Arabidopsis thaliana: one gene and its partner. The protein of the gene in region 2 interacts with the protein of the main gene of each other region in a pairwise test. Each region holds a gene or a part of one and is shown on either strand. Other genes may lie near its edges.

The links. Proteins that work in one complex are often made in the same cells at the same time.
Region 1: the proteins of AT2G31220 (region 2) and DREB26 interact in a two-hybrid assay, tested with the Arabidopsis thaliana proteins (one large-scale study listed by BioGRID).

What each region holds. Positions count from the first base shown.
Region 1 is NC_003070.9:7,693,363-7,700,367, reverse strand, and holds DREB26 (Integrase-type DNA-binding superfamily protein), read right to left. Parts: upstream 3,942-7,005; 5' UTR 3,714-3,941; coding exon 3,021-3,713; 3' UTR 2,537-3,020; downstream 1-2,536. UniProt on the Arabidopsis thaliana protein: Transcriptional activator involved in the regulation of plant development and tolerance to abiotic stresses. Involved in salt and osmotic stress response pathways. May be regulated by the stress-related genes RD29A, RD22, DREB1A or P5CS during stress response.
Region 2 is NC_003071.7:13,298,801-13,305,805, reverse strand, and holds AT2G31220 (basic helix-loop-helix (bHLH) DNA-binding superfamily protein), read right to left. Parts: upstream 3,141-7,005; 5' UTR 3,054-3,140; intron 2,833-3,053; 5' UTR 2,793-2,832; coding exon 2,786-2,792; intron 2,734-2,785; exon of another isoform or gene 2,691-2,733; coding exon 1,873-2,690; intron 1,779-1,872; coding exon 1,329-1,778; intron 1,247-1,328; coding exon 1,145-1,246; 3' UTR 937-1,144; downstream 1-936. Other genes in the region: AT2G31215 (basic helix-loop-helix (bHLH) DNA-binding superfamily protein), read right to left, coding at 5,504-5,740, 5,847-5,999.

The DNA.
Region 1 (7,005 bases), on a different chromosome or scaffold from region 2:
ATAGAAAAAGTTTACTAGCAAACAATTCTTTGCTACAAAAGTCTCTCTTCTCTTCTCCGATACAAGAAACAGAAGAAAGTGTTTGGCCTGTAAAGCTTGGCGTCACATGTTTGGTAGGCTACTGATATTTGAAAGCGACCAAAACTTATGTTATCTGGGCCTATGATAAAATTAAAATGCTAGTAGTAATTGGATTCTTTTATCCAACATGACAAGTAAATGATAACTCTGTCACCGCCGCCAATATTTTTCAATTTTCAGAGTCAAGATAAGTACAAGTAGAAAATATATGTCGTGCAAGGACACGATCGGATACAACTTTTTGGCAGTGGTGCAAAAAAGTAACTAAACCTAATCTTGTGGACTATATTGACTTCTATTTAATCTTATATTATTATCTAAAGCATGCCCATAATTATTCATTTTTATTGTAAACTTTTTTTTTTTTCATTTGGCTTGTAAATGAGTAAATCTATATCAAAAATATATAGATTCTTCCACACATTTTGTCAAGGGAGATTATTAGGGCTTTTTTTTTTGGCGAGCAAACAAGACTCTTCCACAAAATTTTTGGGGATCAATAGGTTGTCAGTTTGGAATCTACCACTTAGAAGAAGGAAGAAAATCCATTACAAGTTTTCCTATTTACTAAAACCTTTTTTCTTAACTTGACATCATCGTCTACTAAAATTCTTTTAATCCAATGAACTTATTAAAAATTGCATATTTCACTGTAGCCATCAATCACCATTGCTTCTTATATTCAGAAATTGAACTTAAAGAGTTCAATCCACTTTATAAAGCCTTAAATGAACCGAATTATGCCGAGCCTCTTTTTGAAGCCCAATGCATTTCACTATTTGCAACGAAAGAAATTCTAGAAAAAGAACTTACAGCAGACAGCAACTTTTAATGATTTTTTCTGTTCTTTTTTTATTTAGCAATGGATGGGCCAGAATCGATAATGAGCTAGACAAAAAATAAACGATAATGGCCCCAAAACCAAAGCCCATGGACGCCGAATCCTAAATCACTAAAGAAATAGAAACGACTAAAATAAGAGCGTTGAGCAGGAGACATGTCATGTGACTTCAAGGTTTTATCCCAAATATTGAAGTTTAGATGTTCCCTTTGACAAAAGAAATGCTATAACACTCTACACAATCAGATTTAATGTTGATGTGATATGATATGAATCATATGAATGTCTTATCAAATCACTTTATCTTCTTAAGTATGGGGTCCCATCTTATGTTTAGTTGGGACCTCAAAATTGTGAACAAACCATTTAACTATGTCCTGTTTTCTATTATACAGACGATAACGTCTCCAAGATTTTTGTCACACTAAGACCAATATATCATACTTTACTCACATGATCACTGATCACATCATTTTTTCTTTTTATATATGCGGTGTTAGTATGATGTAGATTCATAGGATATGATCACAATACTTAACTATTAGACCAAGTTCATCTAAGCCAGCCAACAAATAGCATTGAACCGTATACGTTCACACACTAGGAAACAATTATGTTTGACCGAGTGAGCAAGCTTATTAGTTTTCACTTCTAGAGTGGAGGATGGCTCTGGTCGTAAGAGGACAGTTACAAACTCACAAGTCACAATATTGTACTTTTTAATCAGAGTAAAACGTTTTGTGTGCACTCTAATCATCACTCAGTTAAAAGGTGGAACAAAAGTATATGGTTTTGATGGCCTTAGACAATCAACTACGTCAACCACATCTCTCATCTACACTACAATTTTTTTTTTGTGGTCTACTCTTTTTCCACATGGCATCTGTTTGTAAAAGGTTGTGAACATAATTTGACTAATATCACAATTTGCGGTCACTCTCTTACATGTTAAATCATATATTCGTTAAACAATCTTGTATACATTGATCTATTGATAGAACCAAAGCTACAAAATAAAGCAAGCTAGAGATCTCCTACCTTTTGGTGATGGTTTCAAGTAAGTTTCATGGTTTGAATGAGTTAGAGTACTCTGAATATGAATAGAAAAATCAGTTTACAGTACTCATTAGTGAATCCTACATAACTCTAACTCTATTGCAGTTATTTATATCCCTTGACTGCAGTTCTGTCTCCATGGGATTCTTTCCCAAAAAAGGAAAATAAATTAAATCAAAACAAATGGTTTTTTAAGTTCCAAGTTTCAAAGATATGAACTTTGTCCCCAAGCAATGTGTGCATTATTTGCTATACCAAACTTTTCCACGGCACATGAAACAGTAAGATTCCTCTGAGTATAGTACTATACTTTAATTTTTGTGCAAAAGTATAGTACATAATAGTATTTAATCAAACAAATTATGAATTATGAAGAGACCTCGGGAAAAAGTAGTTCAGATTTAATTATACATTAATTTACATATATATTCATCTTAAGAACTTTACCAATGTCAATGTCAATGATGTGTTCTAACTTCTAACCAATGATGGTTGTCAATTAGTGAAAAAAAAATGATTGTCAATTATATACATCATCGGCTTTACTACTTACCAAAATAAGAATAAAAAACAAAGATAATGTGTTGGATTGCAAAATCATCACATATTGGTAGCAACTTGGCACATATATACAAGTAAACGAGTTGGAGAAAATGATACAAAATCATATATAGCGCCAGATTTATTTCACAAAACTATTGTGCGAAATATATCATTACAATACAGAAATATTTTCACACATTGTTAAAAAAAATTGATGAAAAGAAACCTCACATGAAAAAGTCAAAGAAGTGACAAAAAAAAGAGTCGCTTGTTCATGTGAACTTCCTAGATCCCTATTAAATCCGAATTGTACCGAGTTTGCTACATATAAAAACTTACAATTATATTATATAATCGTATCCGTCGTCAATTCTCTCCAAGCAACAAACAACTTGGAAATGAATAATTACGACGAGGGTAAATATATGTTACATATATAAAAAAGAATTTAAAAAATGATTTAGAAAACTAATTAAAGTATGTATTATGGACCGTCGGATTAATTGAAACTCCAAAGCGGAATGTCAGCATCTTCGTAGAAGTATTCATCGAGCATCGTCGTCGAGTTTAGTTGAGGAGAGTAATTGAATGGAGCTCCATTATCAAACAAGAACATCCCATTATGATCATCATACCATGAAGATGTTGAATCCATCAAAGACACATGATTGTCCACAAAAGATCCCATCAAAGATTGCATCCCATCATCATGGTGATGATCATGATCGGACGGTGACGAGACGGCTGATGAAGTAGGGGCAAAATGGTTAAATGAGTTGGCAGCTTGAGCAGCTACTCTTTGGATGGATTTGGGGGACAAAAGGGTATTTTCATCTAAGAGATTATCAAGAAGATGATGAGAAGAAGAAGAAGTAGGGAAGTTGAGATTGGCTTGAGGGCCTTTGAGACATAAGAGTGCAACATCGTAAGCTCTAGCAGCTGCTTCAGCTGTTGAGTAAGAACCTAACCAAATCCTTGTCTTTTGATTTGGTGCCCTAATCTCAGAGACCCATGATCCCCAACTTCTCATCCTCACTCCTTTGTACTTCTTAATCTTACTCTTCTTGTTCTTGTTCTTACACGAAGACGAAGACGAGGAAGAAGATGAAGAAGAAGAAGAAGATGGTGATGATGACAAAGGCATTTCCTTTTTTGTGCTGCTGGTTTGGATCTTGCGTTCTTGTTTCACCATGGTAATGTTGTTGTGTACGTACAGGCTTTGTAGAGTGATTGGACAATGTGGTAGTGATCAAGTGGAGATATTGTTCTTGAGTTTTTGTTGTTGTTGTGGATGGATAGAGATTTTTTGATGAGGATTAGTGTGAGCTGAGAAGATTATATATAGAGATGGATTGATTTGGGAGGGGTATGGGAGAGGAAGAGATGAAATATTATTTATTGATATAAATCTAAAATAGGGTCAAATGAAATATAGTATGGTTTCTTGTGTATGAATGTGACATTGTGGTGCATGACAGGTGTTTTTCTTCTAATTTTTCCTTTATCCTAGCAATTGGCATTAATACATTTTTGTTCCATTCAAATTAAAAAAAGAAAAAAAAAGAAACTAGTGAACATAAATCTTTGGAGCTTAGTTATTTATTCGAATATGGATGCATGTTAAGGCTTTGCCCAATTGTTCGAAGTTCGAACAATGAACCTGAACATGGCCTCATCTTAACCTTTTGCTATTTTTGCATTTTCTTATAAAAAATAAATCATGTATAACTAATATTCTTGGTATTTAGAGGAAAAATACATAAACGTATAATGATTTTGATTGGCTTTTTTTATTGAGGAACCACAAAACAACAATTAATTATGCGATCACGTAAATTTTTATCAATTGCATGTTCTTGTTACAAAGAAAAATGTATATTTTTTTATTCTACAATTTAAATGACAAAAAACATTAATTTCACAAGGGTCCATTTTACAATTAGATTTATTCTCTCCAAGTTTATTAACGTGTTAGATTCTTTCTAGAATTTGTCCAAAATATAAACCGAGTGAACTAAACTATCAAACTAAAATAAATTACCGATTGGAGTCAATTTTGCTAGGAATTAATTAACCAGGAGAGTATATATATTATACACACGGACGCCAGTTGATGAGCAAATCGAGGAGTGATGCTAAAATATCCTATAGTATTTTTTTAGGTTGTGAGATATCAATTTTCTTTTATATATTGACTATATACGTACCTATCATCACTATCAGGAGATTACGAATTACAGCTGCGTTTTAACGCGTTAACTCGTAATACGAACTTTCCAAGAAAGTGGCCCCATTTATGGTTTAATTATTGGTTGTCTATGTTTATTCTTTACCGATTAAACTAGTGTGTATATTTGTAGTTATACACCAAATATATATATACTGTATCATGTTTATATATTTTTATGAAAAAGTGACTGTAAAACCTGCAAACATACGTGCACGAAAATGTTATTACTTGTAATATTTTTTATTACTAGAATATTGATCCATCTAATCTTTTTATTAGATTTGTTACGTGTATCATCAAAGTCTAAAGAAAAATCTGGTTTTAAACCTAGCTATATGACAACTTGCTATTGAATTTAACATTTTAACATCGTGGCTCATCGCTTTGTGAATTGTGAGTAACTTACGCGTTAACAAAATGGAGATGTCGTACAAAACAGTAATTAGTATAAATACGTTTGATAGTATTATAATCATTTGGTAATCTTTAATTATACACCATAACGTAACATGTTACATAATACATACAAATGCTATTCAAGAAGAACGATATCGCCTTTTAGCATCTTGTTTTCTTACATCATTAAACAACATGAATTTTGTTAGTAATATGGAATACTTACGAAGAAAATGTCAATAGGAAATAGTAAATGAAAATAGCGAAGAGTGAAGTCAGAAGAGTGTGGGAGAAGGTGATGATGCTAAATTGATGAGTGACTTCAAATTACAGCTGTTCTCACTCTGTCTCTTTTGCTACCCAAATCCAAACCGCGTTTTCTCTCGTCAGACTCACTCGTGTATTTATCTTCCTAAATTTTGTAATCTTTAAAAAAAATTAAAAAAAAATTCATACTATATCGAAAATATGATCCAAATTTATAATTACATCGTTTTCTCCACATACAACTTGTGTTATTAAAATTATATATATACATATATACACAATTTGTCTTTGAGTCATTCTATTTTAGAATATAGAAAATCAAATAAAGCTCAATTTAACTCGTTTTGTCGAGTTAGGATTTCGAATTCTAATAAATTTTGTCTTACGTAACTTTAATATATACCAACATAATTTATACGAACATATGCTAAAGATTGATATAAAGTATAAACAATTGAAAAAGGGGGAAAATATAAAAATAAATAAATAAAGCATATAAAACTTTAGGACACGCAACGAGCACATGATCGTATGTAAGAAAAGATGGGAGATGACATGTTCTTTGTGGACAGCCTTGACTTTCTCACAAAGCTTAAGATTAATCATGGGATATGGTACTTTAATTTGTTGTCTTCGTCTTTAGATTTCACACTTTGGTCTTAAGCAAAACTCTCCAAGATGTCAGTTCGATAAAGAGAGCGAGAAAGAATATGGGCGGATTTTGTCAGCTTTCCAGCCAAAACATGCGTTTGCATGACGAGAAGAAGCATCTCGATCGTGGCTTCTTTCAATTTTAACTTTTGAGTTTTAACACGTAGCTTATTTCATATTTGACACTTACTCGAATGTAATCTCCTCTTTTGAATTTTGAAAATGATACACTAAACTAGAAATGCATCAATTTTATAGGCTTTTATGACTAATTGATGTCGAGTGGATTGACCATGTTCATTATATTTTACGATAGGTTTTAGGATTGTCAAGATGTTTCACTTACACATGAATAGACATATTCAGACATGCAAGCCTAAAGTAAAGGCTAAGGCAAGTAAACAAACATTGCAGTACAAACATATTTGCTTTAACAAACAAACAAACAAACAAAAATTAAAACAAAATGGATCTTTCTTGATAAATGGAAAATCCAATAAACTGTATGTATTAATTGGTGGTACCGTACTCTCTCCGTACCAGTTCCCAACAAATGACTCAACAATATCACCACGATACAATCTCAACCTCAATAGTTTCAACATTTATTATTGGTGTACTATTTATCGTAACAAATTTGGAGGATTACAATACTACAGCGCATGGCAAGGAAATTTCGAGGAAGATGAAATAGTATACGTTGAATGTTTTTTGTTTTTCATATTTTTTTTCATTAAAGATGTACGTTGAAGGTTCAACCATGTATAATGGATCCAGTGAACTAGGTTCAACCACCAAATCCTTTTCTTTTGTATATCTCACAGATCTATGATTTAGTCGGTTTTGAAAATGTTAAAAATGATGTGGGGACATAAAATATGATAGACCCCATACATATTTGTTTTGGTTTATAAATTCATATATAATTTATTTTCCGTTT
Region 2 (7,005 bases):
TGATACAATTATTTGAAATTTTGACAAAAAATAAATAAACATATACTGTTAACAGAAAAATACTGAAAACCTAAAGAAAAAAGCTTTAAAAACGTGATTGGTTTAGCTCTAAAGAACCCGATCCCTCAACTCCAAAGAATCCAAGTCTTCATCATGGCCTCCACGAGCAGCTCCTATCCTAGACAAGCCCTCAAACCTCAGTTAAATGCTTACAACTTCTTTGAGGATAAACGAAAAAACGGAATGGCAATAACGGAGTTGAACAATTAGAGAAACCGTCACCAACCACAATTACCGTTTTTTTTTTAATTTCCTTTTGCCAAATGTGAATATGTGAAAAGCTATATATAATTATCAAGTGATATGCTTGTCCAGAATTAGTAAGTTAAAATTGTGATACACGTCATAAGCTTTTCACAGACATACTTTATTTTAAATGTGAAAATAGACTTCAAAACAAAAAAATACACATGAACGTGTTCGAAATAGGGAATAAGCAAAAAGGGTGACAGACAACGAGCAAAGACAAGAGCGTTGAGACAAAATCACATCCTTGTTTTTTTGTTTTAGATCTAAAACAAATTAACATTCACTAATTGATAGTACATTTTTTGTTTTGTCAAAGCCTAATTGATAGTACACATTATTAAATAAAAGCTTAAACACGTAATTCAACGGTAAATGAAAAATCGTAAAAAGAACCAGATTAAAATTGGCTCATTGTAAAAAGAACCACTGAAAATGTAAGCAAGTTTCTTAATTTCTAGTTAGAAAACCAGAATCGATAAAGAAGCAATGGTTTATAAATTCCGGACTGATGATTATTCTCAAACTTTTCAAACGACACGGCCCACTGGCCCATTAAGAGCAATATGAAACGTAAGGTAAATATGAGCAAGAGCATTTGTTAAAAAAAAAAACGCAAGAGATTAAAATGTGGTCGAAAAACGAAACCGATAAAGCTAGAAGAAATATATAGAGTTAGACAAAATCCAGACAAAGAGCCTCAGCTCTAGCTCTAACTTTAACTCTAGCTAAATAAACTTGAAAATTACCAAAGTGATTAATAACTTAATCAGTCATTAGAGGGGTATCACAAAAGTTATTAAAAAGCAATAAACTACTCCATAAGTGTGTCTGGAATCTAGTAGCCGTTGCTAGGAACAGCTTCCATGTACTGCTTCTCCACGACCTCCATCAATGTGTCTGCAATTCCACTTGCATACACACAAGATCCTTCACAAATCTGCCTCAAACCAAATTGAAAAAGATTAGTTTATTGGTTTGGAGTTAATAACAGAACTATATTAGTGAGACATTTTCATTACCTTAGTGTTGAACAAGAAGCTGTAATGTTCACCAATCTGTCCACCTGCAACATGGTGAAGATCTAGCTGAAGCTGATCAAGAACTTTGGTGGTGAACAACAAACAGTTAATCTTCTTCTTCTGAACAAGCTTGATGGTTACTTCATCATCGATTATACGTACATCGACCTCAGTGACTTTCGATTTCCTCTTAAGCCATGAACATCTCAGTGAGTTGTTGTTGTTCTTGTTGAAGCAAGACTGGTCTACTTCGCTCTGTGGCTTGTAATTCACAGTGTCTTCTTCTTCTTCTTGATCTTCTCCTCCTCCTCCTTCACCAACTCTAGCTCTCTTCTTGCTCCTGAATCTCCCACATCTCTTCTTCTCCACAAGCATCTTAAACTCCTCTATTGTCCTTAAAAGCTCTTTGATGTAATCTATCGCCTCTCCAACTATCGATGCTCTATCAATCTACAGAGATTAAACCAACAATGTCTCTCATTTCATAGTCTCCTCATACACATTAACAACATGAATTGAAATCAAAGCAAAGTAAAGTATATACCTTTGTGGGATTTGGAATGAGGTTCTTTAAGTCGAAGAAACGATCATTGAAGTGAACTCGTCTCTCACGTTCTGTAGGGGAAGTTCTCGACTTTCTTGATCCTCTTCCTTTACGAGTAACTCCATTGTTAAACTCAAGAATCTCATTCTCAAATCCACCATTGTTGTTGTTTGCTCCTTCAAAGTACAAAACATTCATTCCTCCATTAGCATCCATCTGAATTTGATCTTCAACTCCAAGTAAACAAGAGCCGTTTCTTAGCTGGTTCTGATCTCTAGGCTGCATAGGGAAATTCAAATGGAAGAGAGGGTCGTACATAACAGCAGCAGCAGAAGAAGAAGACATAATGTCTGAGAAAGAGGTAGGTAGCATAGAGGAAGGATGATGATTAGGAGGCAATGAGCATCTAGGCAAGTGTAAGAGACTAAGCAAATCAGGAGTTGTTGCAGAGTTAGGTCCCAAATTCACAAAATCCTGATACCCATTATCCCAATTAGAGTGTTGTTGTTGATGTGAAGCCATTTGGTGAATCAAATTGTTGTGGAGTTGATCACAAGGAGGAGGTGGTGGAGGAGGAGGATTGATGTGAAACTGGAGAGGTGTTGAAGAAGCTTGAGGACAATCTTGTGGGCTGAGATGGAATTCAGAGAGCTCTTCTACCTCAACACTGCAGTTGCTGTTGCTTGTGCTTCCGGCAACCAGAACTTGCGGTGGTGGTGGTGGTGGTTCGGCTTGAGAGAAGCTACTCTCCACCGTAACTTCTGCTGGAGTGTTGGGATCGAAACAACCCATTTCCTCGTAAAGGCTTTCTCTTTCTTCTGCGTTTGTAACTCAAACACTAATTTAGATCTTCCAGAACGAAAAAGGTAGCAACTTTCATGAGAAATTAGACCAAATAATGAAATTTTGTTACCTTCCATGGAAATGGTTCAACGAGTACTCTAGATGATTCTTTAACACCTGCAAATCAAAAGTAACATTCAACAATCTTTAAGAAGAAGAAAAACCAAAAATTTGAAACTAATTTCAAAAAAAGTTAGCTCTTTTATAATTTTGGAAACGAAACCATAGAAATGTTTGTTAGGATCCAAAAGATTAAACATTGGGTTAAGGGTTTGAATTTGACAATAGATAGAAAGAGATGTAAGATAATGAGTAATCAGAGCTGGGAAAATTAGAACCTTTGTTACAATTAATTCTTCTCTACGTCTGTCTTCTCAATTTTCAGGAGAAGAAGTAAGTTTTTTAAACAAGAGTCTCTCTCTCCCTCTCTGTGTTTGAAATATACGGACATTTGTAGATGGAGACACACAATACAATAAGGGTAAAAAGATGGCAAAGTTAAATTATTGGATAACATGTATATTCTAGGTGTCTAATTTAAACGAAAATGTTGTATATAATCCATTAAGCTATGTTTCTAATCCAACTTTGATGCATGATTTATTAAGGTTTTGATTTGTTACATGGTTTGTGAAATTACTTCTTGTTTATAGTCATTTTTTAAATCATTTTCTATGCAACTTATTTTTTGATTAATCATTTCAAATGTTGAAACCTGATTACCAAATACCAATATGATCCTAAACATATCTTTTAACACTTAACCAGTTGTAAGAAAATTAGCATTGTATATATTTCTTTTACGTTATAAGCTCACTTTTAAGAAAATATAAATTGGGTTTTTTTTGGGGGCTGTTTTGGTTGGAGCATGTGATTTATCATTGTGGCCAAACATAAAGGTTGGTTAGAAGAATCAACAGATGGGTCCCTTGCCGAATCTCTCAGGTCTTTTCAACGACTTTAGGGGTATTTCCGTCATTATCAGCAAATACGATCTTCTCTCTGACCAATATGATATGGGCTCCACTAACTCACACCGACAAACCAAGTAGCCCCGTTTGCTCTTTCCCATTTCTACCCTTTTCCTTTCATTTTAGTAAAATTTGGATAAAAATATCCCAAATACAAAATTGTAATTGATAAAAGTATTTTAACGCGAAACTATTTTCTTGTCTTAGATGTATGTTTTACTTCTATAATTAATCTCATGTTTAATATGTGTTATGTTTATGCAATCGTATTTTATTATATACTCGAATTGAAAAAACTCTTCGACTTAATACAAGAACCAAAAATACTAATGCACGGTTTAAATGGATATGTTTTGTATATAAAAAGTGTTCAGTTTTAATTTATGGATGATTAACTACCTTATCATCAACAATCATGGAATTATTTATCACATCATCTAGTTTGATTCATCTATACGTTGTACATGGCATTGATAAAACTTATGTATGTATATCATAGTTAAATAGAAGTATAAATACTTAAACCCCTGGGTTTTCTAATTTTATAAGTAAACTGTGTTCAACAACTAAACCATCATAGAATAGTTTCTATCTCAAACACTTCCTGTAATGTATATCGACAACTCACTTAATTAATCTAATTTAACACTTCCTTTCTTTGTGTATAATCGATAACATAAAATGATAAAATAAAAATTCATCCATAAGAAAAATATTTAGATACTTGAAGAGATGTATAATAGAGAATCTGGTAAAAAAATAACATGGACTGTATTGAATATAAATAATTCATTTCATTCATATATGTTTATATTTCAATCTTTTCTATTAAATTTTTCTAAATAAATAACAATTTTGGATCAAACTAATTGTATAAGTTTCCTTGTTGAGCGGTTGGGTCATGCGATTTCTGTTTATAGCAAAGAGAGCGGGTTGTTTGAGAAGTAGTGGAAGTAGGTCCCACATCCAAGAATGGGATAATAATATACTTTATATTTGATTTAGTAAAAAAAAGAATTAGGGTTATTCTTGAAATTCGACAGAAACTGAAAAAATTCTGGTCACCTACCTCTCTCGTACACGGTACACTGCGACTGTCCCCATCCTAACTAAACAGTACAAACTCTGATTACTCAGAAAATGTTAAAATGTATTGCCGGACCAAACCAACGATTTGGTTTTTGATATATTAAAAATGTAGTGCCGCTTGATTCGGTCCATACATAGCCAATAGTTTCAGAAAAGGGGTTGGGTTGGATTCATTTAGGTAATGAATCGTATCATTTTTATTTTATTTGACGGTTGCACTACAGATATTTCATAGAAATTGATATTAGTTTAACAGGGCCTGCACTTCTCTAAAAATTATCGGTCTACAAACCCGACTTAACCGGTCTAAAACACACGTCACAATATCTCTAACAATAGACAAGTCTATTCAAAGTGGTCTATGATTAATTTGATCACTCTTATATATTATGCATGATGCTTCATCGTAGATGCTTGGGGTTGGGGATGAATTTCATCATTCATCACTGCTTCTTTTCTTTGAATCATTCCTTCTTTTCTTTCTCCGTAATCAAAGTGCATTCATCTTTCTTATATAACATTGTCTTGACATTTTCAGCTCTAAAGAAAGTTGGGTGTGTTGGCAAACTAGTCACTTTTTCAAACTTAATTGGAAAAGTAGTCACTTTACTATTCATAATTTGCAAAGTAGTCACTTTTCACTATTTGATTCGTACACTTGGATTGTACAACACTTTTAGTGTACAAATGTAAAGTGTACGTTGTGTATTTTTATATATATATGTACACTAAAAGTGGTGTACAAATCTAAGTGTACGAATCAAACAGTTAAAAGTGTTTTTGTTTTTGGAGAATGGATGCTCTATCTTGCTAGTCCCATAAATCGTGTTTTTATTGTCTACTTCAATGTTGTTGTGCCTTGCACCGCATTTTTTCTTCTCAACCAAATACTTAAGCTCGCTAACTAGTCTTTGTAACTCGTTGATGTAAACGATCCCATCTTGAACAATGGATGCTTCACCTCCCTAGTAATAGAGCATGTGTATTGATCAAGAGATATTGGAGAGAATGAATGAAAGATTAAACAGACGAAAAAGAATGAAAGATTAAACATAAAAATATATATCTAACCTTTGTGGGATTTGGAATGAGGTTCTTTAAGTCGAAGAAACGGTCATTGAAGAGAGCTCGTCTTTCGCGTTCTGTAAGGAAAGTTCTCGACTTCTTTGATCCTTTTCCTTCCTCTGCCTTGAACCTCTCGTTTTTTTTTGTGTAACGTTCCATGAAGATGGTTCAATACTCTAGAAGATTATCAATTTCAAGAGAAGAAACAAAGTTTCTTTAACAAGTCTCTCCCTCTCTGTATTTTGATTGAATATAAGGAGATTTGCAGATGGAATTAAAATTTTCTATTTTTTTTTCACTTAGGACACAAATTTATTATTTTATTTTTTTAGGACACAAAATGTTGACTTGACTTAATTAGCACTATGTTTCTAACCTATTTCACAGTAATGTCTTAAATAGATGTTGTTAAACATATTTTATGTCTATTTTTTAGCTTAATAAAGTTGTGCTTTTGCTGAAAAAATTATGAAATTATACCCTATATTATCTTTACAATTGAATAACTCTTCGACTGGATTACACAAACAACAAACAGATCGAAGATGAGGGATTTGGGTAGATAGTTTCCTACATATAAAGTTTTCATTATTTGTTAATAAATTGACAATTACTACTTCATCCCCAATAATCATTCATGATATCACTTCGTTTTAACCTCATTTATCTATGTGCATCACACTCGTAGAAGCGATGATTCAGAATGTCCAAATTTCGACGTTAACTGTTTTGAAGAAAATAAATTGAGAAACATATCTATTTGTCTCTCTCTTAATAATATCAACAAACGCTAGAAAAATATTATAAGTTTTATGTTGCGGTTAGATCATGCCATATATGTTTATAGCAGTATGAAAGAAGATGAAGAGGTAGGTCCCTCATCCAAAAATGTGAAAATATAATTTCATATTTAATTATTTTTTATTTTTTATTTTTTTTTGTAACGTGATGATTTATGGATACTCTCGTAACTTTATAGAAACTGAAAATTTTCTTGTCACCTACTTCTCTCGTACACAAGTACAGAAGTAGTTGCTATTGTTCCCAACCTACCTAGTCATACAAACTTTGGAACCATAACGATGGTTGTATCAATTTTAACAAAGAAATACCAAGTGTTTCTTGGTTTAATGGCTTCTTTCACTGGCCGAGGTAGGACGAATTT